Linked DNA regions of Medicago truncatula. The protein of the gene in region 1 interacts with the protein of each later gene in a pairwise test. Links are inferred from orthologs where the notes say so. Each region holds a gene or a part of one and is shown in the gene's direction. Other genes may lie near its edges. The genes, in order: transcription factor HHO3, ethylene-responsive transcription factor 4 and uncharacterized protein.

The links.
Region 2: the proteins of transcription factor HHO3 (region 1) and ethylene-responsive transcription factor 4 interact in binary tests that used the Arabidopsis thaliana proteins (3 or more experiments, as listed by UniProt). The link is inferred for Medicago truncatula from reciprocal best matches to the Arabidopsis thaliana genes AT1G25550 and ERF4.
Region 3: the proteins of transcription factor HHO3 (region 1) and uncharacterized protein interact in binary tests that used the Arabidopsis thaliana proteins (3 or more experiments, as listed by UniProt). The link is inferred for Medicago truncatula from reciprocal best matches to the Arabidopsis thaliana genes AT1G25550 and NIMIN-3.

The regions. Positions count from the first base shown.
Region 1 is NC_053046.1:24,429,827-24,441,393, forward strand, and holds transcription factor HHO3, read left to right. Parts: upstream 1-5,909; 5' UTR 5,910-6,113; coding exon 6,114-6,255; intron 6,256-6,386; coding exon 6,387-6,631; intron 6,632-6,968; coding exon 6,969-7,248; intron 7,249-7,340; coding exon 7,341-7,417; intron 7,418-7,757; coding exon 7,758-8,099; 3' UTR 8,100-8,474; downstream 8,475-11,567. UniProt on the Arabidopsis thaliana protein: Probable transcription factor involved in phosphate signaling in roots.
Region 2 is NC_053043.1:38,971,616-38,982,092, reverse strand, and holds ethylene-responsive transcription factor 4, read left to right. Parts: upstream 1-6,589; 5' UTR 6,590-6,714; coding exon 6,715-7,335; 3' UTR 7,336-7,686; downstream 7,687-10,477.
Region 3 is NC_053048.1:52,916,483-52,927,206, forward strand, and holds uncharacterized protein, read left to right. Parts: upstream 1-7,155; 5' UTR 7,156-7,587; coding exon 7,588-7,989; 3' UTR 7,990-8,215; downstream 8,216-10,724. Other genes in the region: inactive glucose-6-phosphate 1-dehydrogenase 4, chloroplastic, read left to right, coding at 1-53, 636-820, 1,078-1,172, 1,542-1,656, 1,803-2,008, 2,202-2,310, 2,428-2,465, 2,606-2,726 and 3 more; GDSL esterase/lipase At1g09390, read right to left, coding at 9,434-9,663, 9,945-10,209.

The DNA.
Region 1 (11,567 bases):
AAATACCTTGAGGAATGTGGAATCATATGTCAATATACTATGCCCAGTACTCCTGAACAAAATGGTGTGGCTGAGAGGCGTAACCGTACATTGATGGATATGGTAAGATCCATGATGAGTCATTCTAAATTACCAGATTTCCTTTGGGGAGAAGCCCTTAAGGCGGCTATGTATATATTAAATAGGGTACCATCTAAGGCTGTACCTAAGACACCTTTTGAGTTGCTTAAAAGGATGGAAACCTAGTCTAAATCATCTTCGTACATGGGGGTGTGCAGCTGAGGTTAAAATTTATGATCCGACTGCATCAAAGTTTAAGCCCTAAGACGACTAGGTGTTATTTTATTGGTTATCCTAATAATGCTAAGGGGTATAGATTTTATTGTCCTACTCGAGGAACAAAAATAATAGAAGCCATTAATGCAAAGTTTCTTGAGAATGATGTTGGTGATTCAATTGGTCATGAAACTGGAGAATCAAGTTCTAAAGGAGAAAAGGTTCTAATACATATACCTATTATACAAGAAAGAGTTGAGATACCTTTAGTTGAGCAAACAACCGAGGAACCACAACCAACCATCTTAGATAATCCACACCCTCCTGCACCCGCTCCTGAGCATCATGTTGAAGCTTTACCCATTAGACGTTCTCAAAGAGAACGAAGGCCTGTCAATCGTGATGATTACTATACTTTTCTAGGGGAGAAGGATTCAAACATAGGATGTTTTCCAGATCCAGAAAATTATAGTGAGGCAATTTGTAGTGATTTGTCCGATAAATGGATTGAGACTATGAATGATGAAATAATTTCGATGAATCACAATAATGTGTGGGAGCTTGTGGAACTTCCCAATGGTTATAAACCTATAGGATGCAAGTGGGTTTTTAAAACTAAGAAAGATGCTAAGGGAATTGTAGAACGCTTTAAGGTAAGATTAGTGGCTAAAGGGTTCACACAAAAGGAAGGGATTGATTACAAAGAAACATTCTCTCCTGTATCATCAAAGGATTCTTTTAGAATTATAATGGCTCTTGTGGCACATTATGATTTGGAACTTCATCAAATGGATGTTAAGACGGCTTTCCTGAATGGTGATCTCTATGAGGATGTGTACATGCTCAACCTGAGGGTTTCATAGAGAATAATAAAGAACACTTGGTGTGTAAATTGAAGAAGTCTATATATGGTTTAAAACAAGCATCAAGGCAGTGGTATATTAAGTTTGATGAAGTTGTTGCTTCCATGGGTTTTGAGGAGAATAAGGTGGATCAATGTATATATCTCAAGGTCCGTGGGAGTAAATTCATTTTCCTTATTTTGTATGTAGATGACATTCTACTTGCTAGTAATAACCTAGATTTACTTTTAGTGACCAAGAAAACCTTGTCCACTTCTTTTGATATGAAGGATCTAGGTGAAGCCTCTTTTTTTGATTTGGGTATTGAGATTCATAGAGATAGAAACCAAAAATTATTAGGTTTATCTCAAAAGGCATATATTGATAGAGTTCTGAAAAGATTTAATATGGAGACTTGCAAGCCTGGAGATGCTCCAATAGTTAAAGGAGATGAACTTAGTAAGGATCAATGTCCCAAGAGCAACATTGAAATGAATGCAATGTCAAATGTTCCATATGCTAGCGCAGTAGGTAGCCTGATGTATGCTCAAGTATGTACAAGACCTGATTTATCTTTTGTTGTGAGCGTATTGGGTAGATATTTGTCTATTCCTGGATATGCTCATTGGGTTGCTGCTAAGAAGGTAATGCGATACCTCCAGAAGACAAAGGACTATATGCTTGTTTTTAGGGAAGTTGATGATTTAAATGTCATTGGATATTCTGATGCTGATTTCGCTGGATGTCCTGATGACGAGAAGTCAACTTCTGGATATATCTTCAAGATGGCTGGCGGTGCTATATCCTGGAAGAGCGTTAAGCAAACTCTAACTGCCTCATCCACAATGCAAGCAGAGTTTGTTGCATTGTATGGTGCTGCAACCCATTCAATGTGGTTAAAGAATTTTATCTCAGCTCTTGGTATAGTTGATTCCATTTCTCGGCCATTGAAGATATTTTGTGATAATAGCTCGGCTGTCTTCTAAACTCGTAAGGATTAAATTCTTAGTTGTTAGAGAAATGGTGGAGGATAATGAAATTGAGGTTGAGCACATATCCACCGAAGAAATGACTGCAGATCCATTAACTAAAGGGCTTAGGCCGATTATATTTACAAAACATGTTGAAAATATGGGAATTGTAAAGTCCTTTGATATTTTTAATTAGTGGGAGCAGACATTAATTGTATGTGTTCATTTTTAAATTAATGAATTTATTCTCATTTTCTTTTGATTATTTCTATCATGCTTAAATGCTTTTTTTTATTTTTTATTTTTTATTTCTAATGGAAATTTTATTTGAGATTTGTCTCTGATTTCTCTAGTGGAAATGATGTTTCATATGAAATGTGATTTTAATCTCTTTGGGGAGATTGTCATTTCTTTTACGAGAAAGAAGTTGTGTTCCGTAATGGAATAGTGTTGCATTTGAAACATGAATCTCTTTTAAGGGATTTGATTGTACTTTCTTTGAAAGGTACAATGAGGACTTGTACACAATAGTATACAATGATCACAATATATATACTATGATGTGTGTTGCATTAGTACGCTTATTTGGTGATTATGACAACAAGAAATGTTAGTTATGTGGTTGTAGGTGATATAAACTCTTAATAGTCTAATTTTCACCTATAGCTCTAGCTGATAGGTTTTTTGCTTGTCGGCATTGATCATGGTTAATGGTGTCCTAATTCATGCAAACTATGATCAAGGTTTATTGTTCATTATGAGTAAATTATATTTCATGATCTGTAACTCATTAACCATTTAAAAAATAATAATCTTGATTTGCTTAATTGATTTAACTCTAGCACATAAATATCTTAACAATTACAACATGTGAATAGGTTGTATTTAAGAAAATTTCTACCGTCCTTGTTAACCTAACACTGAACCATAACCATAGAATTTTATTTTTCGAGAAATAATCATATTGATCCTTAAATGTGTAACGAATAGTCATAATAGTCTTTCAATATATCAAAATTTTAAAATGATCCTTGATTGTGCATTTTGTTACTCAAATTAATCTTTATCGTTAAAATAGTTTTTCAATGCTGACATTAACTCTTTTTATAGGATGACTGATATGACAGTAAGTAAATACTTGTAGAGGCTGATATGACAATTAAAGACTAATTTTTTTGGACTAATTTGACAATATTAAGAAGCATTTTAACTTAAAAGACTATTTTGACTTACTCAGTGCACAATCAGAAACTATTATTGAATTTTTATACATTGATGGAATATTGCGACTACGTGTTATACATTCACAAACTAAAATGACTATTACCCTTTATTTTTATGAAGTAATAACCAGATATATTTATTATTTTAACTTTTTCAAAGAATATTATTTTTTAAATCACTTTTAAATATTATTTTTATTAATGTATTGTTAATATTGTAATAAAATGTATAAAAATTAAGTGAAAATTGACTTTTTTTTTTGAGGGAAGGTGAAAATTGACTAAAATTTCGTATTTAGCATCTTAAATACATTTCAATTAAATATGTAATTTTTGAAGAAGATTCACTACAAACAGATCCAGCAATAAAACCATCAAACCAGTCCCAAAACAACCAAAAATCTTTGCTTAAGCCTTTGTGATGGACAATGAGTTGTTATGAAGACTAGATAAAATTTGAATTTATATCGTAAAATTTGAATGTATGTTTCCAACATGATCAAAATAATGCTTGAAATCAAAGTTTAGTGATAAATGATGGATGATGTAGGAAAAATGTATCCTGACACCAGTTTCAAAGCTTTTCTTCTTTTATCTTTTTTCTTCAACATGATTTTAAGTAGCAGCAATGTAATCAGCAGCTAATTCACCTTCGATCAACTTAATTCAAAAGCCTTTCTTTTAAACCAGAGCCTTTAAGCATCCTGCCATGGAATAGTCTTAACAACTCTAAACCCATTTGGGGTTGGCCTAGTGGTTGGCTTGGGATCTTGGAGTTTGCTCCTCCAGAGGTCTCAGGTTCGATTCCCTCTGCCAATTTCGGTGGGCTAAGTCTTGCTCTGGCTTTAAACGGGGCCCCCGCAAGTGGGCGGTGGAATTGGTCCCCTCAGATTAGTCGATTTTTGGATCGGATACCGAGTTTTCAAAAAAAAGTCTTAACAACTCTAATAATAATTTGATTACAAACGCAGACATGAAAAAAAATAACAACAAAGAAAGAAATCTCAACAACACTAAACCCAGCCAACACAACACCAAAATGTTAAGGGAGGAACTTAATTTGCATGTAAATGTAGCATGGTGGTCAAATCGGGATAAATTAACCAAAAAATAGAACTTAAAATATCATATATAAATTCCAAAATACTTCAAATATCATATATAAACTTCAAGATATTTCAAAACTCAAGTCATAAACAAAAGTAAATAACATAAAACATCCTTAATTCAATCAAAATCAAACATAACTCAAAATTTTAAGAATACTTCAAAACTCAAGTCTAGCCTAGAATACTTCAAATTTCAAACGATTGTCAATTATTTTCCATACTCAAGTGTAATATCTAATGAGTCACACAAACCTGACCCGATATTTGATGGGTCACTTCAAAAAAAAGGGTAAATTTAGGGTTTTCTGGTCCGCCAAACAAAAAATCATCAAAAAAAGTTGTTTTTTCCCCCTAAAAAACAAAGTTTTTTGATGATTTTTCTTACAACTTAATTGTTACAAAAAAAAAAAAACTATGTTGCTTTTATCATTTTTTTTTAAAATATATGTTGCTTTTATCATAAAAAAATAACAAAAAAAATATGCAACAAATAAATTTGTCGTAAAAACAAGATAATTAATAAGTTGTCGAACTCAACATCATACTTAATAACAAAATAATGAAAATATACCAACATAAAAACAAATACAACAACCAAAATAAATCCAAAAGAAAAAATAAGTCTAAAACAAAAAAGAAAAACAAGTTAAACGGGTCGGTCCACCTCGTCACGAGTCGGCCCGTTTTTTTAACGAGAGTTAAGCGGGGCGAACCAACTTTGAAAAGCGAGTTCAAAACTTCGACTCAGCCCGCCAAAAATAGCGGGCTAAACGGGCCGGCCCGACGAGTTGGATCCGTTTTGCCACCCCTAGTTGGTAGGAACAATGCATTATATATGCAAAGTCGGGGTTCAAACCCCATCTATCACCAAAAAAAAAACATGCAAATTTACACCTGATGGAAAAACCTAAAAAAAAAACAAAACAATGTTTTCCTTTAACTAAACAAAGCAACCTTGTTCACGTGAGCTTAGCTCAGTTGATATGGACAATGCATAATATATGTAAGATCCGAGGTTCAAACTCCTGCCACCAAAAATAAAAAAACTAAGGCTTAAATATGAAAATTGTCCCTGCAAATATCTGACATTTTGGTTTTAGTCCCTGTAAAAATATTTTTTTGGTTTTAGTCCCTGCAAATATAAAAAATTTGGTTTTGGTCCCTGATATTTTGTTTTAGTCCTTGTAAAAGTAATTCATATTGGATTTGGTCCTTGTAATATGTAGAATATTTGATTTTAGTCCCTCAAAATGAGGACTAAAATGAATATTATAGGGATCAAGTTCAATATGAAATGATTTTACAAGGATTAAAACAAAATACCAAGGACCAAAACCAAATATTCTATATTTGCATGGACTAAAACCAAAAAAATATTTTTATAGGAACTAAATCCAAAACGCTAGATATTTACCGGGACTATTTTCATATTTAAGCCAAAAACTAAACAAAGCAAGAATATAAAAGGCATCAAAGATTCGTCTTAGTATGCGACGACCCGAACTCAATGTTTATAAGCCATTCTCTCTCTTCAAAGTTTATTCCAAAATTTGATTCTATTCAGATCCCATATTCTTCATTGGTGGATCCGTTTTTCTGTATTTGGACAAAACCTCATTCATTCCCTATATATTCATCCTTACCCTCTTCCTCAAACTGTTTTCCCTCAACAACACATTCATATAAATTTTTATGGTTTCAATGCAATTCCACCACAAAATGCACTCTCATAAAATGGAATTTCGTGACTATATCCTAGCATTGGAAGAAGAAAAGAAGAAAATTCAGGTTTTCCCTAGAGACCTTCCTCTTTCTCTTGAGCTTGTTACACAAGGTAAACAAAACAAACCAGAAGAAAAAAAAGAATATACCATTTTTTTATACCATGTTAAAGTTTCTTTCATTGGTTTTTTGGTTTGTGTTTTTCTACTTTTTTCTTATATGTTATGTTTTGTGAATATGCAGCCATTGAAACTTGTAAGCAACAGTTGTTTGGAACACAATCGGAGTGTTCGGAACAGACATCGACAGATGAAGGTCTTGTTTTTGAGGAGTTTATTCCTATCAAGAAAAGGGCATTGTCCCCCGATTGCGATGAAAATGATGAGGAAGATGACGACGATGAGGAGCAACATTCATCACATAAGATGAAATCTGATTGGCTAAGATCTGTTCAGTTGTGGAATCCCAACCCTTCATCTGCTAAAGAGGTATAAAATTGCAAAACCAAAGTCGAATTTTTTTTGTAGGATTTAATCATGGAAAATTACACTGGACTGAAAGGCAAACAGACAACAAGTTGTACCACTAACTGTTTCTGGATGGCAAAACCGAAGTTGATTTTAATAAATGAATTTTTATTTTATAAGCAAACGTTGGTAAATTAGCGATTTTGAACTGTGAAACTTTTGATCAGGACTTCTTCCGCGTCACTCAATTCATCAAGCCTATTGTCTGCTTGATACATTGAATGGAATTGTTCCTTTAGAACTTTTTGTCTGTTTCATAATTGAAAAGAAATTAAGAGAATGTGAAATGTTTGTTCAGGATGTACCTAGGAAAACAAATGTCGTAGAAGTGAAGAGAAATGGTGGAGCATTTCAACCATTCCACAAAGAGGAAATCGCTGCTGAAAAAGATAATGCATTAGAAAGTGATAAAGCACCAACCAGTTCGCCTCAAGTACCAGCTACAAGTTCTACCGAACCAGTTCCTGAAAGCGGCAGCAAAAAAGACGATAAAGGTCAGAGAAAGCAGCGCCGTTGCTGGTCACAGGAATTGCACAAACGCTTCTTGCATGCCCTTCAACAACTTGGCGGTTCAAATTGTGAGTGAATATATTACTCATCAGCATAATTAGTACATTCTTCTAATTAATTGTTCCAAATGTAATTGTGAATTGTGCGTGACATGTTGCAGCTGCGACGCCAAAACAGATCAGGGAACTAATGAAAGTCGATGGCCTCACCAACGATGAAGTCAAAAGTCATTTACAGGTTAGTTATTTTTTGTTCCATTTCTATAATTTGTATAATTTTCTGTCTCAGACCTGGATTATATGTGGCTAGTAAACCCTGCAATCCACGGATTTTTACCGTGGATGAAGATTAGACATCTCGTATTCTGATTATACCAAATCAAGCTTAAATTATAACTCGAATACGAGCTGTCTAACCTTTAATCTAACGGTCAAGATCCTTGACTATCAGAATTGCGACTGCATAGAACTCGAATTCATATTAGCACATATCACTATACGATCTTCTTGATTGTTAATTTTTCTTGTCTATGATCAAAATTATGGTCTAACTTTTTTTAATTTTCGGACATGGACAGAAATTTCGTCTGCACACAAGAAGAAGCCCAATAATTCACAACAATTCTAATTCACATACAGCTCCTATGTTCTTGGTAGGGAACATTTATGTCCAACCACAAGAATATGCTGCAGTAGCCACCAAAACAACAGTGTCAGGAGAATTAACCACAGTTACTACTCCAACAGGAATTTATGCACCTGTGGCTACACATCCTTCATCTACAACCACAGTTATAAAACCAAAGTCTAAGAAATTTGAGTTGAGTGAGAATTCACATTCTGTAGAAAGAGTTGTTGCTCATTCTAACTCCCCTGCCTCATCATGTTCCACTCATACACCTACAACTTCAAGATGCTGAAAAATAATTCATTTTTGTAGCTATGTTTTAGTAGAGTTGTTTTGTTTGGGACTTAAATTATACAAGTGAAAATACAGTGAAAGGAAAGTGACATTTTTGTATGTTAAGTAAATAAATCGCCCTTCCTAGGCAACATGTTCAACTTTATCACATTGGTGGTCAATTTGTGCGGTTTCTATTTTCTTTGGTTAAAAAAATTGTTCGGTTTTTTTTTTATCAAGTAGCCTAGTGCTAGAATTCACCCTTTTCAAGATGAATAAGTGGGGTGTCCGGGGTTCGAACCCCTGTTCTTGTATATAATAATGCATGTCAATGTCAATTGAGCTATAGGGATAAATTGTTCGGTTTCTAATCGATTAAATTACCATTTTAACATTGAAATTGTACTGGTTGAATAATTTGATACTTAAATTTATGAAATGATAAATTAGTTTATGTTACTCTTTTTTTTTTTTTTTTTTTTATACAGAAATCAATATTAGTCTTCGATGTTTATCAATTTTATCTAATCCTTAATAATTGAAAAATGCTAATTTTAATATTGAATATGTGAACAAACTCACAACATCATCCATATTAATGGCATAAAACAGCAAAAAATCAAAGTTTACACATATGACTATATTTAAGTCTCCGGAATATCAATGTCTCCAGATCTGCAAGACGACTCCAAAGTCATTGATTTGATCTGCACTAGATCGAAGCTGATCTGACAATCTGAATCGAACAAATACCTGAACGAAATAAGAAAGACAAACAATGTCGCACAAAGACGACGAACAAAACAACGTCGCACTAAGACGACGAAATCACAAAAGAAAAACCGAAATAGATGTGAAAATTACTTATTTTAATAAAGGAAAATAGAAAAAACGAGTTAGATTGATGATTTTCGATCAAATATTGACCCTAAATCATCTATTCTTTGTGGATGAAGGAGAAGAAATTAGAGTTTTGGTGACGGCTCACAAAAGAGAAGGGGAAGATAGAGCCCGTCTATGTTATGGTTCCTAATTGATCAGATTTGTAACTTTGGAGATGGATTATCCAATTTTTTATTTGGCATGATAATGATGTGATGGGGTTAATACTTAATAGGATTCTAACGTCTCATTAATGATTCCAAAGGGAAGAATCTGAGAATATCCTACAGAATATTTGCAATGACCACAATGTCGATATTCATTTTATCGTTTGACGTTGTGTTGCATAGGACAAAGAAGTTGGAGATATATTGCTAGCCAGTGGCCACCGGGAGTTAAAAATGCCAAAAGATTCTTGATCAATAGTACTCTCTTTGGTCACGTTTACAGCTAAAAAATAACTTTTTAGATTTATTGAATAATTATTGTATATAGTCTATAAATATGACCAAATACATTAATTATTCAATGAATCTAAAAAGTTGTATTTTATTTATAAATATGATCGAAAGAAGTACATCTTCTGTCCCAAAATAACTGAGTCATTTGTATAAAAAATGTTTTAACATAATTGCTTTTTTTTCAATATTAATTACTTTTTTCAATTAAAACTATAATTGGTACTACTTCATCATTCTCAATTCAATATATTCTGCTTTACATTTATGATAATGGAAAATGCTCTGATACTTGACAGGATACTAAAAAAAAAAATTACGGGTCAGGTTTTGTTGAGTCGTTCGTTGATGGTCCTTCTCCACCAAAGAGGGGTAGTTTACTTGCATGTGCTTTGACGCCAAAGTCAATAAAGGTTCAAAAGTTATGCGGCTATAATATGGGTAAGAAGCATACCTGTCCCAGGGATAAAGCATAGGAATAAGTAGTGGTCAAGTAGGGCTTGGATGTCAAGCCTTATCCATACTTGGTAGTGAGCAACTCTCGACCTGTGCGTGCATGAGCAACCCCAGATCAATGAGCAACTCTCAGCCCGCACTATGAAGGAATAATGTGCCCCTAAAAAACATTGAATAATGTGAAAAGTTTTTCGTTTATGAAATCACACTATTGAAACATTGAATAAGAAAAAAGGTTTAATGGGCAAAAGCTTCAATTTTTTTTGGTGTCGGAGTTTAAACCCCAAACCTTACATATATATGAATGCATTATCCTTAACAGCTGAGCTAAAGTTAGGGTGACAGCAAAAACTTCATTGATTCTATGGAAGCAAAGCCTTAAGAAGAAAATAAGTAAAAAAAACACAACCAAATTGACGGTCAAATCATTCAATAGGCCAAAATATCTAGTTATTTATATTTTTCGTAGGGTTATTTGTTTAGATATTAAATTGCTTAAATCCACAAAATTAATCCATGCGCTTGTACGTTATATATCTTGCTTGATACTCCAAAGAAAATATTCATTCTTATCACATGGATAAACTCGAATCTTCTTTAGCTAATGTTAATGTCAATTTCTTATATTTATATTTACATATCTTGACTTTAACCAACTATTCCACCCTGCATGATCTACATGCCTACCAATTCCATTAACAAAGAAATATATTCATAGCACTTTTTTTTTTTTTAAAGAATATATTGTTAATACTTGAATATAAATTACTTTTGACATTTGCCTTTACACAGTTTTTAGAAACAATTTTTTTGGGTAGTATAATATATCAATAGTTGACATTTTGATCACATGGACTACACTTATCACAAACAATTTTTAGTTATTTATATGAGAAATGTTTTTCTATTGATATTGAAAATGAGAAAATCATTTAAAGTTTCCATAATATGAATAATTCTATAGGACAATTACTAATGCTACAAATTTTTATATATAGTGCGCCCACTATTCAAAAATCCTGGATCCGTCACTGAATGTGACCATATCCAAATTTGTTTCCATCATTACATCAATAAGTTTTACCATTGAATCAAAATGTAAAATAGTATATTTGTAAAATAAAAAAGTGATATTAATAATTTATTGATTCAATAGTAGAAAACAAACTTATACATTATAGATATGCAGAACTTAATTGTTTGTGCATAATAGAGAAAAGGAATGCTAGCAACACACATTCTAATACTCACTTTTCAACACACTCTTTTTGATTGGATAAAATTCACATGAGACCCACCAAATTCATATGAGACCCAGATGATTTAGTAGGACTCATGTGAATTTTAACCAATCAAAGAGAGTGTATTGGAGAAAGCAAGGTGAAATACATTTTCGGGTTAATTTACCTAGACTTTGAACGGAATAAACTAATATACTTTTACCAAAAATTAACTGGAAGTAATTTTGCAAAGTCATTAAGTGTCATTGTTGAAAAGATTTTCATGACCCTTGTAGCTTCAAGGGGTTCCTAAATTAATGGATTCAACTTTGAAAATTTTACTTGATCAATAGGTTGCTGAGTAGATTCAGATATTGTTTGGTAACAATTAGTCACCATCTCTTCCTATGCATAACTTTCTTCTTCCTTTCTAAATAAGTATATCAAATGTTGAATTTCGATTTTATTTGT
Region 2 (10,477 bases), on another chromosome or scaffold:
ACAGAGACAGAGAACAACTCTCACTATAAGGAAGAATGAGATAAAATCAGGAAAATGTATGTGATTTATTAGTTCGGTAAGCTAGGCAAATCTAATTTTGTTTCTACTTTCTACACATGGAATTGATCAAGGGCTGCTACGACTTGCAATAGTTTGTTCTAGGCTTATAATATGACAAATAAAACTAACTTCTTTGTCAACCGTCAATTGTAGATTTCTTACCATAGATTTGTTTGTAACGACTTATTTAAATATATCTATTGACATAAGTATTTGTGAGATGGCTTAAGAGAGTGAATAGAAAATATATTGATCTAATATTAGAGAGATTGATAGGTCGAGCTGGAACATCATCTGTCAAGATGAATGTTGGTGGGTCGTACATGCAAAAAATGTGACGTTATAATCATTAAGAGAGTAAAAAGTGAGATTTATCAAGTGGAAGAGAGTGTGTACCTTGCATTGTAGTGAAGGATGTCTTTTATATGCAACAAAGGGGATCTCTTGGGGAGTAATGGGTGGTTTGTTATGGACAACGCTCATGAATGAGCTTGGCTTCGACAACTGTTAATAGCCATTGTGACGTTACATAACAGGGAGGATCCAAGGTTGCAAAGAATCCGATTAGACCTTCGTTTTCTCTGCCTTATGGGTTTTGGGTCGGTACATAATAGTTTCCCTCCAAGTCGTCCGTCCAAAGTTAATAGTGGTGACTTTGTAATCTGTTGTACAAGGAGAGTGTGGTGGGTTAAATGTCCATTTATGTTTTCGTTGATGAACTAAAGAGGATTATTTTGAGAAGGGTCTTTAAATGTGTTAACGATGACAATAATATGGTGATAATTCTCTGTTCGGACACAAATGTTTTGACTTTTGCTCAAAGTGTTGAGAAAAAGAAGTGTCCTCATTCCACTTTTTCTCAACGTTGTGTGTGTTGTGGTCTTAATTAGAATTCATCAAGTAAAATTTTATATTGTTGGTTTAATAGTGAGGGAATTTGATTTGATGAGAGAATACTCGAAGAGAACCTTTTACTATTGTTTGGGACAATTCACTAATTAGATGGTTTTTCAAGGAGGATCGTGCTAAGGAAGTCATGTTCATGATCATTCCGACTCCTATCCTCGAAAACGTGACTTCAATGGACTTGATGATTGGCCTTCATGTGCCAAGTATTGAGCTTATACTTTTAGCACTTGAATGCAAATATTTGTTGAATGATGATTGTAACACCCTAATTTCCACATTTTATTTTTATAATAAAAATGCATTTAAAATAAAGAAACGTGCGAGAGTGTCACACTTCTTAATCAATAAAAAAGTACTCCATTTAATATTAAAAACATCATAGTCGAAAAGTTCTCAAAACATCGAAGTAAATTTTCACATCTAAAACATCCACAACAAAACTGAATTCTAAAGAATTCTAAACCAGAGTCTAAAATAAAATAAACTCCCAATCCCTGGTGTCACAGATCAGAGCATCGACTCGATAAAAATCACAAAAGAAAGTTGTAAAAGAGGAATAGGCTCCAAAGCCATCCTCGGAAGACTCACTGCAACTAAGTGTCATCAGCCTGTAAGTCTCTAGTTTATCGAATAGATGAATTCCTACGGTTGAGTCTCTCCCTGAGCTCTTCTCTATTTTGTCTCCTTTACCTCTTTTCTCCACAACCCTATTTTTCTTGTGATCTCTAATCTTTTTCTTTGTTTGTTGTAACCTTATTTTCCTGATATTCTCATCTATTTATAGAGACTATTTAAGGTTTAGTTGTTCTGAAACTCTATTCTTATCTTTTAATAAATTTAAAATTTATTTATTTTTATTTTCTCACATAAACTTTGGACACATTAACTACCTGCACCCCTACTTCCATATTTTTACCAAAAAAACTATTTTCTTCTTAAAAATTATTTTCTCTCACTATTTATTATAGTTTAGTACTCCATCCGATCCTTTTTATAAGAAAAGAAACCAAAGATCATCAAAACCAAGACAATCATTAGTGGTTGTAATTTTTTGAATGTTTTTACAAATATACCCTCATAAAAAATTGTGAAGTATTAAATATACCCACTAATATTAAAAGGACAAACATTAAATTAGGGTTGGAAAAGTCTTTTAAACAATAAATGTAACTTAAAAGTCACAACTTTTTCTTATATATTTGACCAAAGTTTTTTTTGAAAAATTTCTTATAAATAGGACCGGAAGGAGTATTTATTACTCCCTCCACTTTTATGCTTCATTTTGTTCTTGTTCTTGCTTTATAATGTTCATAGAAATAGACTTTCAAAGTGGTGGAATTTTTCTTTCAAAAAAAGTGGTGGTATTTTTTAACTCCGATGTAAATATATTTAAAAAGTTACATTAATTAATAACAATATTGATCTTGATGTTTATTTATTTTGCTTCTTATTATATGGAGTAGAATAAATATTTCTTCGCCTCGATGTGTGTCTGTCTTGATTTTGATTGATTAAACTAATAGTTACGATGTGGAAACCAACAACTTTTTTAACTTGTCAAAATATTACAGCTCAATAAACATATCAACAAATCAAAACCAACACTAAAGCGATAAATCACTACAACAACAAGGTAAATCAAAACTTGAGTCAAAATCTTTTTTATTCATTGGTAGATGTTGGTTATAAAATTACCTTTGAAGTAAAAAAGTATTAATATGAACATTTTCATGTACTAGAACACAATCTGAGGAATAAATTATCTTTTTTTTTTTTTTTTATCTCAGTTGCTCATGTATACCATTTATACAAAAAATTAAGAACGAATAATTGAGTATATGTACCGTCGAAAAAAGGCAAGATTAGATTCTAATTTCCATGAGAGAAAACAAAGTATGATTAAACATACTTTTGTTCTATTGAAGCCAAATAATAATCTCGTTGATTGTTACCTATTTTTATCGATTTAAAGTTTAGATAAAAATCACTTATTTTCTTTTCTTTACTCTAATTTTCTCCTTCTTTTATTTTTACAGAGTATATATGAAAATTAATTAGCAAATAAAAAAGGTTGTTGGAAAAGAATTTCAAAGGGAGAGAAAAAGAAAGGACGGCAGTAGAACGATGATGACATTTCTATCTAAAGATGGCACCATATTCCTGTGCGTGTCTCCCGCAAGGGATCCAAACACCACGTGTCACTCTCTCAACCCATCTCCACTCTCCACCGTCCGATCAAATCCGAAACATTCAAACAACTTTCTTCATGATCCATCTCACGCGGCGAAGAGGCGGAGAATACCGACAAATGTCTTACACTTAAACGCCGTCATAAAAGTGACGGTTCAGTTAACTGACGTTAAATAAGAAACGCAGCCTCGTACCACGTGTCGGGTTTAAAACGAAGCAGCGTGGATAGGGGCGGCCCTGTCTTAACGCAATTATTTAATGATGTTGGTGGGTCCCACTTTCACGCTCTCTCTCGGCGCTGGGGCGGCGCGGTGCTTTAAATCCAGTTCAGTCAACTTTACCTCGTTGACCGTGCCAAGTGTTTTCTTAACATGGGTGAGGTTTGTGTGGAGCGTGTGAGTACGCGCTTTGTTTTGTTGAGCGTGTGGGGTACTTTTTTGCTGCACGTGTAACCGATTTCACTGTTTTTTTTAGTAGGAGTAATCTCTTTAATTCTTGTTGTCTCTTCCTATGGAGATGCTTTTATACCTCATTGCCCCCTTTTCTTTTTGCATTGCCATTATAGCCCCTTGGGTGAGTTTTCCTTTCTATTCACCAAAAATCAAATATGAATTTTCTGTTTAAAAATAATCAACAATTTTACATTGGACAATAAAAGTGTATAAATGAATGAAAGTAAAATTAATTAGAAACTAGAATTGAAAAAAAAAAATTGTAAGTATTGTCTCAAATGTAGGGAGTATTGCCTTATAATTTCCTAAAAAAAGAAGTTAAAATGTCATTTCTTTTGAAACTCTTCTTTACAAATAAGTCACTCATTTTTTCAAAGATTTACAAATATGTGACTTATTATTTGTCATTATTGTATTTCCTTATTTAGTTGAAAATTCGGGTTAAAAATATTAGAGGATGAGTAGTAGAGTATTCCATCCGTGTCAAAATATAAGCAAAATTGACTTTTTAGGTTCATTCATTTAATGATGTATGTGGTCATGAACCACATACATCATTAAATAAATGAACCTAAAAAGTGAATTTTGCTTATATTTTAAGACGGATGAAGTATTAATTATATGAGTGTATTAATTGGGGAAAACTAGTTTTGACCGAAAGTAATTTGACTATGTCTATATGACTTTAAAAGAATGAATAATGATCTCAAACGAAGGACTCCAAGTTTGCTAATACTAGTAAAAAAAGATTTACATTAACATGAATATAAATTAATCGGATATTACAAATACTAGTATAATTAAAGTTCATCAAAATTACTTTTATAAAAAAAAATATAAATAATGATTGTTAGAATACTAGGAGTGGTTTTCCCCTAAAAAAAGAAAAAGAGGAGTGTTATTTGAACAACCATTTGGTTGACAATTTTTGGGACAACCATAATTTACAAAGAAAAAATTGGTATTTGCACGAAAACCAAAGCAATAAAGAGATAAAGTAAAAAATAATGTAAATATGAAAGAGAAAGTTGTCACAAAAATTATCATAAAATGAATGTTCAAATATCATTTTAAAAAAAAAAAAAGTATAGTAGGAATGGTTTTGGCAAGTTACCATAGGTACCACAAGAAGACAATAAAGAAAGGGCAACCAATGTTTCGGTAGTACCATACCAACACCAGAACTAGAAGTGTGAAAGTTATTTTTAGGGTAAAGAGATTCGACAGTTAAGATGCCGAATTTTAGCATAAAATGCCGTTTTCCTATTTTGCCAGCTCCAGTACCACAGCACATTTTGCCGTCAAACATGGGTTTACAGTCAATGGTGACACTATTAGTGGAAAATCTACTAGCACGCTCCAAAAAATGAAATTTTTTTTTTTCTGATCCACTTTTCGAAAAAAAATTCAAGTCTGACCCCCTTTGGAAAAAAATTCCCAAAATGACCCATTTTTGGTTTTTTTTTTTTTTGTTTTGTCTTTTAGTGACGTTCCCGCCACCTGAAATGGCGGGACTGGCCGCCGGATCTGACAGCCGTCGCGTCAGGCTGGCGCTGCTTTTTTTTTTTAATTTTTTTTTCGTTCCCGCCGTTTCATCTGGCGGGACTGATTATTTTATTATTTTTTTCGTTTTTTCTATTTTACAATTAAATAATAATGATAAATATTTAATAAAAAAACTACTTTCTCCGCGGAAACCAATTACGCCAATGTAAACTATGACCTCCCGTAGCACATAATTTATCTTTTTTTCGTTTTTTCTTTTTATTTTTTTGGCAGCATTGTTTTACATTTTTTTTTTTGAACAAATAGCATTTTTTTACATAAAATAAAACACAACAAATAATAATGATAGATAAAAATATATTAATTTATTTGAACACATAATACATAACGTTATTAACTACCGATTATTTAAACTCGGACAATTTCTCCTAATATGACCGGTATGCCGACACAACCCACACCGTCTCGGTGTTGGAGTCCTCTCCACCACCTCCTCGTCCATTTCAGTCCTTATGCGGGTACTATTGGGTCGACCTTTCTTTAGTCTTCGCATGTTTGGATTATGGCAAAGCACGGGAGGTCATAGTTTACATTGGCGTAATTGGTTTCCGCGGGGAAAGTAGTTTTTTTATTAAATATTTATCATTATTATTATTTATCATTATTATTATTATTATTTATCATTATTATTTAATTGTAAAATAGAAAAAACGAACAAAATAATAAAATAATCAGTCCCGCCAGATGAAACGGCGGGAACGGAAAAAAAATAAAAAAAAAAAAGCAGCGCCAGCCTGACGCGACGGCTGTCAGATCCGGCGGCCAGTCCCGCTATTTCAGATGGCGGAAACGCGCTAGAAGACAAAAAAAAAAAAAAAATTCAAAAGTGGGTCATTTCGGTATTTTTTTTTCAAAGGGGGTCATATCTGAATTTTTTTTGGCAAAAAGGGTTAGAAAAAAAAAATTTCCCAAAAAATCAATCACTTATATTCTTTTCGTAATTTAAATGCCAAATAAAGACACTTTACGTTCAAATATCATTTCGCAAACTTAAAATAGGAAAGAACACAACCTAAAATGAATGAAATTAGAAATTAGAAATTACAAAAGTTAGTCAACTTTTTTTTTTTTTTTACAAAATGTTTTACTACTAGTGATTTTTAGGTGTAGTCCAATTGAAGGGAACAAAGGTTCTAGATTAGAACAACAATGAATAGGGAAATGAGGAAAAATAAATGAAGCTCTCGAGTAACTAACTAAACCAAAGACAAAGAGGATTGGGAAACAAGCAGCTTGGAACAAAAGTGGTTTGGTTCGTGTTAGAGAAGACACGTTTTGTGTAAATAACAATCGCTTAAAAGGAGCGTAGCTTTATAACTCCTCACACCACGCAGTCACGCACACACGCACGCGCCGTAGTTTCTTCTTCTCTCTCCTCATTCTTTCCTATAAAACCACCTTATTCTCCCCCTTGTTTCCCTCAGACATTGTCTCAGTTTCACAATTCACAAAAAAAAAAATCTCTTTATGTTCATTCTGTCTCCCATTAAACCAAAAAACAAAAAACTTCTCACTTTCAATTTTCAATTTTCTCACAATGGCTCCAAGAGATAACAGAATCACCAACACCACCACCGGGCCTGGGCCAAACCCATCAGCCCAGGCTCAAGCCCAGAAAGAGATTCGTTACAGAGGTGTAAGAAAACGTCCATGGGGTCGTTACGCCGCTGAGATCCGTGACCCAGGTAAAAAAACACGTGTCTGGCTTGGAACATTCGACACCGCTGAAGAAGCAGCGCGTGCTTACGACAAAGCGGCACGTGAGTTTCGCGGCTCAAAAGCGAAGACAAATTTTCCAACGCCGTTGGAGATTATCAACAACGGTAGCCCTAGTCAAAGCAGCACTCTTGAATCACCGTCGCCACCTCCGCTTGATTTAACTCTCACACCATTCTCCTCCTCCCACGGTGGTGTTACCTTGGCCTATCCGGTGGCGCGTCCTGTTTTGTTTTTTGACGCATTCGCACGTGCTGAAACAGCCCTAACCGTTGGCCGTCGTGAGATGTGTGGATTTGAACGTCCCATGGCTGATTTTCGACGCGCCGCCGTGCAGAGTGACTCTGGTTCTTCTTCCTCCGTTGTTGATTATGAAGGTGTGCCACGTCAGAGACTCTTGGATCTTGATCTTAATGTTCCTCCACCACCTGAAGTTGCTTGATCTGGATCTATTTTGAAGACCCATAAGCAAAAAAAAAATTAATTTTTTTTTTTCTTTTCGTTTTTTGAAGTACCCATTTTGATGAACGGAATCACTCTCGTGAAAAATATTTAACGAAGAAAGAGAGAGAGAACGCAAAGTGTGTTGCTGACATGGTGCTCAGATTTGTTCATGAATATGATGATAACGAGCACGCTTTGTAAATATAACTGAAAGAAGGAACCTTATTAATTTTTGCAACTGAGAACTTGTTATTAGTATCTCATGGTTGTTTCTGCAATTAATCTTAAATTATGAATTGAAATTTTAGTTAATTACTCTATGATATGTTATGGTAGCATTTTTATTTGATTTCATTCTAGTTTGTTTGTTTGATCAAAGTTCAAACGTTATCCACTAGGTAGAGAATATGTATATTTTATGTTCACTTTTTTTAAGGTACAGTTCAGATTTGTTTCTATGTATTCGGTTGGATTTGGCTGTGGAGATTTTACGATTACAAGCATGTGAATGTTGCCGCCGCTGTGAGTATAATTAGGTTAGGGTATTTTTTTTCTCAAACGAACGTTCTTTGATTGGTTTGTTCTTTTCGAATACTAGTACTAGTAGTAATGGTTGTATTTTTAATTGATGTTTGGCTACACTAGATTGTCAACATGGGCTCCACTTTCTATCAGAAAATTTATTAAATGTAAGGTTTGTTGTTTCACCTCAGCAAAAAAAAGTAAGGTTTTTTGCGTGAATCAAATGACTAAACAATTGTGCTTCTATGGGAATTTTGATTGAACATTGTAAGTTAATTAGGTGAATTTAATTATTTTTGAATGAAACAAATGACTTTACATCTTCATTTCGGATTGAATTTTAGACCACAAATACACTAATTGTAAATTTGTTGAAATTGTCTACTTAAAATAAAACAAAATCTCAACTTTTATAGTAAAATGTTTAACACAAATTTTAAATTCTTCAATTAATGAATCGAATTCGATTTGAATTATATTAGTCTCAAAGTAGCAAACAGAAGAAAGGAACATTTTGAGGTTGATGATGAGAAGCGTGGGTATTTGATCTGAATGGTTCAGAAGAGTCAATAATGGTTGAGATCAAATGGATTAATGGTATCGTGATTCGTGTATTGATTGGCTTATCTTGATAACGGCGTGAATCTCAATGCAAAATTTAATCCTACGGCGTTATATGCGGCTAGGTCCACCAAATAAAGATAGAGAGAGAAGGGTCCTCGTGTGTGTGTGAATCTCATATTCCTGTGTTCTGTTGTGTTGCGTGTTGTTAAAAAAGGAAAAAATGATTATTTAAATGAGATTAATTAACTAATGTTAATTAAAGTGCAGGCGGCACCGACGGCGAAAACACTGCGTACGAAAAGAGACCGAATCAGAAGCGGGCGTGTTTGGCGGTGGGCCCCAAACGTGTTGACTATGTGTCTGTCGGATTTCATGTTGTCTTCACGTGATGTTTCAGCGCCCCCATCTTTTCTCTGTCTCCACCTTTTCCTACTCTTTTTTTCTTTCACATTTCCAAACTCTAATTTTGGTGGAACAAACTAATACTCCAACTCCAATCTTTTCATTTAAATTTAATAAATATAAAAAATTCCTTTTTTAAACATTTAAAAAATCATTAATAATACTTACATTTAACCTTTGTTTTGTTTGAGAGAAATAAGAAAGAGAGATTTAAAGAAGAGAGAAATAGAAGAGAAGTAACAAACTTCTCTTGTTTGGTTTGAAGAGAAGTTAAGAAGAGAAAATAAAAAATGGTGGGTCAAATGTCATTATACTTTCTCTTCAAACTAGAGAAGAAATTGTGAGGAATGGCAGGAGAGAGTTTGCTGTTCAGATTTTTCCATATAAAAAGAGAGTTTGCTGTTTAGATTTTTCCATATAAAAAATCACTTTTGCCACTCATAATATGCCTGGTAAAGTGATAATTTTAATATTAACTAAAAAAGTGTTGTTTTTTTATTAAAGAAAATAAAGAACCTGATATTTTAAAAATGTATCAAAATCTGACGTTTAAATTGTATTTATTTTAAATTTCTTTTTTGACAGAAGTTGTATTTACTTTAAATTAAAAAAACAAAGATAAAAACTAAATAGTATATGGGTTCATTTTAATTTAAAAATTAACTAAATTTAATCAAGGATATATTTGTCTTTTTCAAAGGAAATATAATATCACTTTTTTATAAAAATACACTTCTCTCTTCCCTATTTCTTTTCTCTTATTCCTATACCAAACAACCTCTCAAATCTACTCTATTTCTCACATATTTCTCTCTTCTCAAACTCTCTCTTACCTATTTCTCTCTTTACTATTTCTCTTCCAATCCAAACACACTATTAATGAATTATGTTCAAAATATAAATATACTTCAATTTTATTCTATTAGGGAAAAAATATACTATACTTCAATTCGTTTAAATATCTATTTTTGAAATAGCCAAATTAATGCAATATAAACAAATAATCAAAGTAAAAACCACCGAGTCAAGTGTTAAAGTTGATTACTAATACGTGCATATTTTATAACTAAGGAATGATCACATATAAGGTGCTCTGCTTACTAGAACTGTCATCTGCCTGAAATGGAATCTCGCATCTTGAGAGATAAGTTTGAAATTTAATTTCGTCTCTCTCTTTTTTTCTTTTTCTTTTTGCCTCGTTACATTGTAACAGTACAAAAAAAAAAAAATACTAAGTCGTGCTAATCAGTGTCCTGAATGTATTGATTAAAGAAATCAAAAAGAAAAGTTTTAATTTTATAATTACATTTTTTTTACTTTTGAAAAATTATTACTTAATTTTCAATGGGATACTTATTATATTTACTTCCTTAACTAGTGTCTTGAAGACACCGGTTAGCATTTCTCATAAAAAATATTAAATATGTTTTATTCATTAAATTATATATCATTCTAATAAATTACTTCATCCATCCAAATTATATGACACATTGGTCATTTCACATGCATTAAGAAATATAATTAATTTTGTATGACAAAGAGATATTATGAGTAGTTTTACAAAATTGTCTTTAAAAATAGTATGAGAAAGATAAATTAAAGAATTAAAAGAAGATAGAGTAATATATGATTAATGATATGATAGAAAGAAT
Region 3 (10,724 bases), on another chromosome or scaffold:
TGTGAAAGGATCAATTTCTGATTCATCTCGTCTACTTAATGATGATGATGCTGGTGTGTTAACTTACCAATCTCTATTTCTATTTATGTGATGTAATGTAACTTACTTGTCTTGAAATTTCTAAAGTGTTTCTTATGTTGAAATCAGGTACTGATTATAATTTACATGGTTAATAAGATATTACCTTGTTTGGATAGCACACTTATATATAACTTATTTCTATAAATAAAGTTGAGCTGTTTTCGTATAAGCTATAAGCTGATTTCATATACTTTGGAGAGCTTATGAAAATAAACTGAAAAAAGCTTATGGACATGTTATAAATTGTTTCACAAGCATTACCAATGAGTCTCACGAATACATGTATCAGCAGTATATAAGCTCAAATAACTCGATTCAAACATATCATAATATCTATGGACTAAGCGTAAAACTTTTTTTTTACATATGCATACATTTAAACCACATCTTCATTCACTTGTTATATTTGTTCTTAAAATATCTTCACGAATATAATATGAAAATCTATATGGTGAGATGTTATAGGATGCATGTGGAAAAAAAATTATAAATAAAAAGAGTGGTGTTTATGAAATTTAATTTTATACTCATTTTTTATTATAATGTTCTCACAGATAGTAAGGTCACTTCTTCCTTGGAGTCTGCATCTTTGCTGCAAACAAGTTCCTTGGCCTTTCCCATGGATGTTAGTAGAGAACCTTCACTTTGTATTGCTGTCATAGGAGCCACTGGTGAGCTTGCGAGGGGGAAGATTTTTCCAGCTTTATTTGCGCTCTACTACAGTGGCTTTCTCCCTGAGGTACAATTTAACAGATTTTCTTGATTTCTCTTGCATGCATATCAAAGATTCACTTCATATGTTGGGACATAATAGTTAATATAGACTCACATTGGACCAAAGTGAATCATCCACCTGCTATATAAACTCATGATATGTAATCCAATTTATTTATTTTTTGTTAGTGGAACATAAGAGTTATGCAGACTAATATTCCTAGTCAATGTTTACCCTTTTAAACTTTTAATATATATTGATTTTGCATTGCATGTCTGCAGAATGTGGCCATTTTTGGGTATTCAAGGAAGAATATAACTGACGAAGACCTACGATCCATTATTGCTTCGACATTAACATGTCGAGTTGATCATCAGTATGGTTTTCTTTTCAATTCCCAAATTACTACCTTCTATATATAGTTTCCATTCATAGACAAAATCTTTAGTAGGTTGCACTGAATCCTTCATATGCCAACTTGGGAAACTGCTTTCTAGGTAGTGATTTATTAAAAATTTACAACCAATTTATAGCAGAGAAAATCTATCAGTAAATTTACAACCAATTCCACTTTTGCAAATAAATTGCCCCATTTCATTTGAAACAGAAAATTATAAAGCTTTCTGGTTTGAAAGTGAATTAATGAAGTCCATCTTCGTTTTTCCCACTGTATACGGTCAATATTGTAGGATACTTCTACCTTTTACTTTACATTAATGTGAAATATAAAATCTTCCAATTTCAGGCAGGATTGTGGGGACAAAATAGAAGCTTTCCTTAATAGAACACACTACATCAATGGAGGTTACGACAACAAACACGGGGTGTCCTTACTGAAGGCCAAAATGGAGCAGATCGAGGTAGCTTCGAACAAATTTCTCTAATTTTAGTAGTATGTATGAAAGTAGTTCTTTTCTTCTCAAGTGAGTTCCTGTAGTGTGTAAACTCTTTACGAGCTGTCCGCCCTTTGATATTTGATTCTACTACAGCTTATTATCTACTTCAGGGAAGATCCAAAACCAATAGGATTTTCTACCTTTCTGTGCCACAAGAAGCACTTTTGGACGTTGCTTCATGTCTTGCAAGCAGTGCTCAGACCCAAAAGGGATGGAATCGCATAATAATTGAGAAGCCATTTGGATTTGATGCTCTCTCTTCCCAAAGGCTGACACAATATCTTCTCTCGAAGTTTGAGGAAAAGCAACTATATAGGTATTCATACCTTCTTCTCCCATTTTCACCCATATGCTCATGCACACAAATGGATGCGTGACTGGTCGGTTGATTTGGTCCGGTATTTGAGAGAAAAATTTAATCCAATAAAAATATTTGGTTCGGATGAACCACTTGGGCACACTCAGAAATACTGTTCATAAACTGATGATTCTCATCAATCTGTTGTCAGGATTGATCATCTTCTAGGAAGGAATCTCATTGAAAATCTCACAGTTCTAAGGTTTGCCAATCTAGTTTTTGAGCCGCTATGGAGTCGAACTTACATAGATAATGTGCAGGTCAGCACCCTTGTTTTATCTGATTGGCATCCCTGAATTTCTAAACTTCAACGAAAAACCAAATGTCTATTCTGAAATTTAATGTTTGTTATCATCTTCTTAATGCAATTTCTGTAGGTCATTTTATCAGAGGACTTGGCTGTGCATCCAGGAAGGTGATCATATTGGTTGTATTGTCATTTGAGTAAATACACTACAACGTGTCATTCTGTACTGAATATGCATAAACAAAATTACAGTCAACGTGTCTTTGCTTGTGATATGATTTCAGCTTAATGCTTTGTTACCCATGCAGGTATTTCGGTGGCTATGGGATTATCCGTGATATTGTTCACAGCCATGTGCTCCAAACAATTGCATTGCTTGCCATGGAACCACCAGTTAGCCTTGATGGAGAAGATATTCGAAATGAAAAGGTACTTGTACAAACTATAATCTATAGCATACTTAGTGATGTGCCTTAACCAACTTACTGAGTTTGATAAGTAATAAATTTATGTAAAATATTGTTGCCATGGTGATTAATGTTACGTATTGAAATCATTCGGATAGAGAAATTTAGCTAAAACATGATTAGTCAAGAAAAGGAAAATAATGCTATGCCTTAAACAACTTACTGAGTTGGATAAGTAATAAATTATGTAAAATATTGTTGCCATGATGATTAATGTCATGTATTGAAATCATTCGGATTGTAACATATGGTTTATGATAGAACACTATGGCGTAATTTGATCAATGTAAGTCAGCGCCACTTAGTGGGGTAAGGCTTGGTTGTGGTTGTATTGAAATGATTCGGATAGAGAAATTTAGTTAAAACACGATTAAAGCATAAAAAAAGAAATAAGGAAAATTGGTGAATTCATGCAAAGGAAATGAACATATGACTGTCTTCCAAGAGTAAGGACTTCCCCCTTCCCAATTAATCGATATTGTACTTTCTACGTAGTCTGTTCACCTGATGATCCGTTCTGTCTTTTTAGATTCATCATACTATCCTTTTATACTGTCAGGCAAAAATAACTATCAGTATAGGCTGTGACATTCCAGCACCGAGGTGTCGATGGCACTGTGGGGTACTTTGAAATACGCAGGCAATGCAAGCATGTGTAAGTAATCATGTGCTGACTGACCAACACTTCGGTGCTGACTATCACACGAGTAATTTGCCTTTTTCCCAGTGCACAATAGGTGCCGGCATTCTGTTGCTCAAATGCTAGAACCATTGTGTGCTTTTGAGTGAATTTGAGTTCTACTAATTCATTTCCTTCGCGTATTAACTACTAAATAAAGAAACAATTGAAGAAAAATTACCTATTTGACATGTCAAAAATGTAAAATCTTAAATTCTACAGAAATTACTCTAAAACATATTTATCCATGCTTAAATCACAAATACACCATTGCTATACATAATAACTGCTTTTAAGGACAACTTCTTAAGATGTTAGAGTGGTTTGTTACGAATGACAGCTTGAAAGATGCATGGTTTCCATTTATCACCTAGTACAAGTAATTAGCTTCTTTCCAGGTCAAGGTTTTAAGATCAATTCGCCAATTGGAGCCCAAGGATGTCATTCTTGGCCAATATAAATCAAGTTGCAGAGACAAAGTTGATAAGTGCTTAGATGGTCCCACACCTACATATTTCGCTGCTGCACTATACATTGACAATGCACGATGGGATGGTGTACCGTTTTTGGTTAAAACAGGCTTAGGACTCATCAAACACCAGTAAAAATTATCATCGTTTTGTCAATTTTATGTACTAGATTATATATTTAGATTCCATGGCATGCCTGTCCCTGTTCCAGTATTTTCTTCTTATTGCTGCGAGTTTAGATCTTCTAGATGGGGTGTGTGTTGAGCTTGTAATAATTGCAAAATTTATGTTGTTTCCCACTCTGACAAAGTGGTCAAATAAAGGGGAAAAGGACTGATTCCTTCTGTCCCTGCCCCCAGGTCTCGCATGAAAGAAATATTGGTCTAGATTTTATTGCTTGCATGCAATAATTTGTTGAATGATGCAATTTATAGGCTTATGTAGAACTAGTCGGAAAATTTGTTGTTCAAAACTCATGTCATTTTTTGACAAAGGTTCAAAATTTTGTATTAATGCAGAATGGAGATACGAATTCAATTTCGACATGTTCCAGGAAATGTTTACCGTGAATGCATCGGGCACAATATTGGCCGTGCCACAAATGAGCTCATTCTTCGTGATGATCCTGATGAAGCCATTCTGGTGAGAGTTAACAACAAGGTTCCAGGATTAGGCTTAAAACTGGACTCTTCAGAATTGAATCTGCTTTACAAGGACAAGTAAGCACTACCGTGTTTGATTATAGTATTTGTTTGCATCATACCTTGACCAAATGCTTCTAACCCGCGTGCTTGATTAAATATCTTTTATCTGCCTAATTTTGTTCATTAATGTTTTTTAAGGTACAACATTGAGGTGCCGGATTCATACGAGCATCTTCTGCTTGATGTCATTGATGGGGATAATCATCTGTTTATGAGAAGCGATGAGCTGGCAGCTGCATGGAACATTCTAACTCCGATTCTGAATGAGATAGACAAGGACAATGTATCAGTGGAGCTTTATGAGTTGGGTGGTCGCGGTCCGGTTGGAGCATACTACCTCTGGGCAAAACACGCTGTCCGTTGGGTAGAGGATTAGCATTTCTATCCCTTAAACTCGTTACTGTGTTCATATTCACCTTCCCAGTTACCTTGGACTACACCACCAAGGCTATAAGTATTTTTTAATGTACTTGAACATATAATTGGCCTAATATTATGATCTTGAAAAGTGAAAACTATAGTTTTTGAGTGATTTTTGGGAGGAAAAGGGAAGAAAAGTAACTAAATAAAAATGGAAAGCAAAGAGATGAAGGCTAAACAACTTTTCTTCTCTTCTTTTAGAGGAGTTTCAAATATGGGATGTCTGAAAGATCATGTTTCAGTATCTGTTAAGGTATTTTACCTTCAGTTACTTTTTTCTTTTATTAGAAGATTGGAGAAGATACACACTAGTATAAAGATTGAAACTCCTATTACATTTACTTGGAGTATAGGATTACGTATCCTATAAAAGTTAAAACGTTTAAGTGCAAGCTAAGCTTTATCTTTCTCTCTTAGATGGCTTTATGAAATTTTCGTTGGTGTTTGTAGTTAAGTTTATATTTACTCCTTTATACACACTCATCTACTTGGAGGTTTTTTTCTACCCTCTTGTTTGCGTGGTGGCTGAGTTATGAGTAGGTCATGTTACTGATCATGTAGGATGATCAAGTATGTCACTCAAATGACGTTTAACTTAGCAGAGAAATGAACAAAAACAAAACTGCATATTAAGCAAGAATGTAAGTGGCGTAGTTCTAACTCAAAATAGTAGTTCTTCACCCAATATTCTAGAATTTCGTGGGAAAAAAGAAGAGGATTGCACGTGGATAATCTCATCCCTGATTTCATTCAACTGTATATATGGACCACAGCAATCAGCATCATGAGTTGTCTTTGCATCCATCCATACCTACGTCACGTGCTAGCACAATTCTGATAACTCTACTACCCTGATGAAAGTATCCTGGCCATTCTTCCTCACCATGATTACCATTAATGACAGTGATTAGTATAATTCCAGACACTATCATTCAAATTCAAAGCCACTTTTAATTAATTATTTAGTCAAGTCATTTAAGACCAACCCTATTTGTCATTGCCTTTGTTTGGTCGCATAGACTTGAAATTGGTCATTTGGTCTACTAATTCAACAATAAATTAAGGGTCTTGTAAACTATGGCCCGGGGCACGGGTTAAGGAATCTATAAATAGATTTTTTGTCTTGTAAATATAAACTGTCACTTTTTATCAAGTAATAATTACATTACTTTTTAATAAAAACTTACTTCTTTTTATGCTTAACCAATATCCCGGGGACACTGGTTAACATTCTCCTTAAATTAATCAATGAAAAACTATTCTTTGTTTTTTTTTACTTTCTTGAATTCCAAGTTGCTAACAAATACTCCCTCCGTCCCTAATTATAATACCCTTTTGAAAAAAAAAATTGTCCCTTTTTATAAGACCCCTTTATTATTTCCAACTACATTAATTATTTTTTTACATGTATGCCCCTATTTATTATACATAATTTTCTTCAATCAGCAATAAATATCATATTGGAAACATAAATCAATTCTCTCTTAAAGGATAAAATTGTAAAAACAATAGTAATTACAAACATATTTAATACAAATATCCACTATCTTAATTCCCGTTATTTTTTCAAAAGGATCCTATAATTAGGAACGGAGGGAGTAATTAAATAAATATCTTGTTTGTCATACACGTTGTAACGCGGATTTCAGAAAAGATTTCAATCTGATAATGATATTGTGTGCCCGGGTTGAGACACTAATTATTCATTAAGGATTCAATTTTCTATGATTAATGTTTTTTATGGGGTCCATTCATGGTATGGTGACCTATACCTATACCTAAAGTATCCTCTTTAGTGGAACCATTTACCCGCAAGATGCTCTGCAAATAGGTAGTCATATAACACATAATAAAGGTCGAAATATTACGTAATGGGGATGACGAAAGATGCTTCTTTATGCTAACTATCTTCTCACCTCAAACAAATTATCTTTTGCACCAACTTACCATTCTACCCTCTCTCTTTCATAAATTATTTTAACTCCTTAGGGGCATATTTGTCAATCCAATAATCTTGACCAAACGCGGTATTGACCTCACACCTCTATTACAAGTCAACATGGTTTTTGGTTCATTGTCCTTTAAAAAAAAATGGTTTTGGTTCATTGAATTCAGTAAACAATTTCATTGTTCATTTGCTGACCTGGCAATTTCAATTCAAGTCGGTTCATTGATCAATTTATTCAATCTCATTGTTTATATAGTTTCAAATTTTTCAATCTATATTCTCAATCAATTTACTTCGCTTTGGTTCTTTCTTTTGTAGTTGGGCTAAAGAAAAAGAGATGAAAAACTAATATTTATGTTCTCTTCTCTTTTTTTTAAATGATTGGCTAGGAATCACATTAAGTGATTTATATTCTGTTGTCTTATTTTATATAGTTATGTTATGAATGAATATACAATATAAATATAAACAACTACCTAGCTAGCTCCATAAGTCTTCTCAATATTATTCTTGTTTTCCTCTACACGGCAAATATAAATATACAAAATATATATAGTTAGTCATATAGGCTAGCTAGTGTGTTGATACAGTAATTGAGGAGCATGGAAGGAGAAAACAGGAAGAGAAAAATGTTGGAAGATGAAGAAGAAAATGATGATGAGAAAATGGAGAAGTTCTTTGCCTTGATAAAGAGTACAAGAGATATCCTCTCCAAAACAGACAAGAAGGTGGGTGAAGAAAAAAAGGAAAAGTGTATTTGGAACCCAACGTTTCAACTTGAAGATTTCATTGCTTGTGAAGAATTGGGAAAGAGTAATGTTTCTGCTGCAGCTGGTCCTTCTTCACGGCAAGAAAAAGAGGTGATGATAATAGAGAAAGAATATGTGCAAGAAGAAGTAGCTGCAAGTGCAACCACTACAACAGTGACACCAAAAAACCAAAATGAAGACAAAGAGAAAGAAAAAGCAAGTGATAATAGCTTAGACTTAAATCTTTCTTTGTAATAATACCATACCATATGAAGGTTTGGCTACTACGTAGTATCGACACTTTAGAATTAAATCGAACATATATCTAGTGTCCGTTTGATTACATTCAATTACTTTCATTTCTCAAATTATTATCCACGTCAACGTGTCTGTGTGACTGTGTCTGTGTTAGTGTTTCATATATTGACTATGTTGATGATAATTTGCTGACGTTAAATGTATTGCCTTTCATGATTGGCCATTTTGTTGGTGTACATTGTAAAAGAGTTATCAAGCTTGTTAATTTGGATTTTATCAATTTTCTCTTATAATTTTTTTTTTTATCATGTGATAAAAATTATGATCAATTTTCTCTTATAATAATTAATTTGTATCATGTGATAAAAATGATTAATGTAACTAATAAGAATTAATGACCTTTTTTTTTTTAGAGATAACGACGGTTAGTTGTACAGAGTTCATAAGCTCATTTTAGATTCTTTTTCTTTCATATTGTGACATTGCCATGTTAGCTGAGAAGGACCGCATAGATTCGGCAAGCATTATATTAATGAATTACTTAAATCCTACAAAAAGGAATGCTATCAACACTATCTTTTGAGCACTCTCCCTAGCATTCACTCTTTTTATTGGGTGAAATCAATGTATGTCCCACCACTTTATGTGGGTTCCATTTCCAAATTGTAGGTCCTACATTGATTTTACCCAATAAAAGAGTGAGTGTTAGAGAGAGTATTCAAAAGAGAGTGTTGCTAGCACTCATCACCCTACAAAACATATAAAATTAAATGTTTTTAATACCTATAATTTATAAAATATTCCCATTTCATTTTAGATCCTACCGTAAAACATTGTCATCCACTTAGAGGGGGAATGTTTGTGTTGTGGATTAATGCAGTGCCTGATATGTATACGCAAAAACTAATATCTTTTTTTTTGAAGGAATAAGCAAAAACTAATTGGTTTAAGAGACAGATCAACTTTGGCTTAACGGAGGTTGATAGAAAGAACTTATCTGAAACAAACTCGAAACTTTAAGGACCTATCTAAAACCATAGAAACTTAAAGGATCTATACGAAACAAACTCGAAACTTGACCCATCTGAAACCTTAGAAACTTAAAGGATCTATCTGAAACAAATATGAAACTTGAAGGATCCGGAGAGGTATTTGGCCTAAATTAATAATAGAGGCATAGCGAAAAATACATCATTTTTTCTCATTTGTTCTTTTACATAATACAACATTACAAAATCAAACACTCTCCTTTGGCAAAACGAAGACACTATCTGAACCTGGCAACAATGCAACATGGGTAAGGCTTCAATTTCATGCTTGAGCATAACCAAATGGCAAAACCTGTTCTTAGAGAAGTACATAGACGGTAAAACAGCAGCTAATGAAATAATAGTAGTTCACTATTTTTCACCCTCTTGCATAGTTTAATCATTGTAAGATATCAGTGACAGAAGAAACCAAAAGGTATGCGTGGCGTGGAATAAGCTGTCGATAGTATCTTTGAAGCTATCCATGTATTTGCAGCCTCGGTATAATGGATTCCATCCCAACTCACATACCGTGATCCTTCATCACAAACTTGATAACCAGGTTGACCGCATGTCACTCTTGCATCAAAATTATAAGGTGGCCCTCCAAAGCCGCAGCATACCATTAGCGGATTTGTGAAACCTATTTGATAATGTATTAACAAACTTCATCACAATCATGATAGTAATAATAATAACACTCAACAATGTTTTTCAGAGGAAAGTGCAATAACTTGATTCCACTGAAGCAGAGATTTCATAAACAGTGTATTGAAAAGCATTTTTTTTACGTGTTCGCTTCCAATGGAACCTAGAACTAAAACAATATGATGTCGTAATAACTTGATTAAGATTAGCATCATAACCCCGAGTCTAATAATAATCAATACTTAATGAGAATAAAGTGCTTGCTTGGATTATTACCATATTTGGTGGCATTTGTGATGAGGTCATTCTTAATGGCATAAATATCAACATAGACTAAGGTAGCATCCTTCAATTCAGTTCTTAATTTCTGACTTGAATGATACAGTGCTTCGTTAAACAATCTTGCAGCAGAATTGTAACTAGAAAGACATCCGAATGAATCCAGATCCTTCTTCTGAGACAGTGCAATTAATTTAGGAAGACAGCCAAAGGGCCCGGTATTGTGAACCCAAAATTTCCTTCCACCTTCATTATACAAACTCTGCATACAGATAAATGAACTAAGCATCAAACCAATGGAGAACCAATAATAAGATCAAGATTTTTTGAACAAAAATGCACATGTCGATGATCTGAATTCAATGAAGAAGTTTGAGTGAATGAGTAGCAAACGTATGGAATAGATATGAACATTGTTCTTCTAAGCTAAAGAAAGTGCAATATCCTTTATCCAATTACAAATGAAGTACCCTGAGTAATAAAAGAATCTACCCTATTGCAGCATCCAAAACGAAAACACACAATAAACTTCTCATGTGTGCATGAGGTCAATCCATGCCAAGAATCTTATCGGATAAACTCATTGTTTGAAATGAGCAAACTGAATTTGATTTACAATGAAATGTATATATATGTAATCAGGTGGTATATGGAACCACTGCCACGATAATGAGTTACAGTGTGTTTTATAATTATTATAAACTAAAGTACCAAACCGGATTTTATTATGTACTGGAGAAACCTTTTATTATAAGTAGGAATCGAACTACCCCAAGG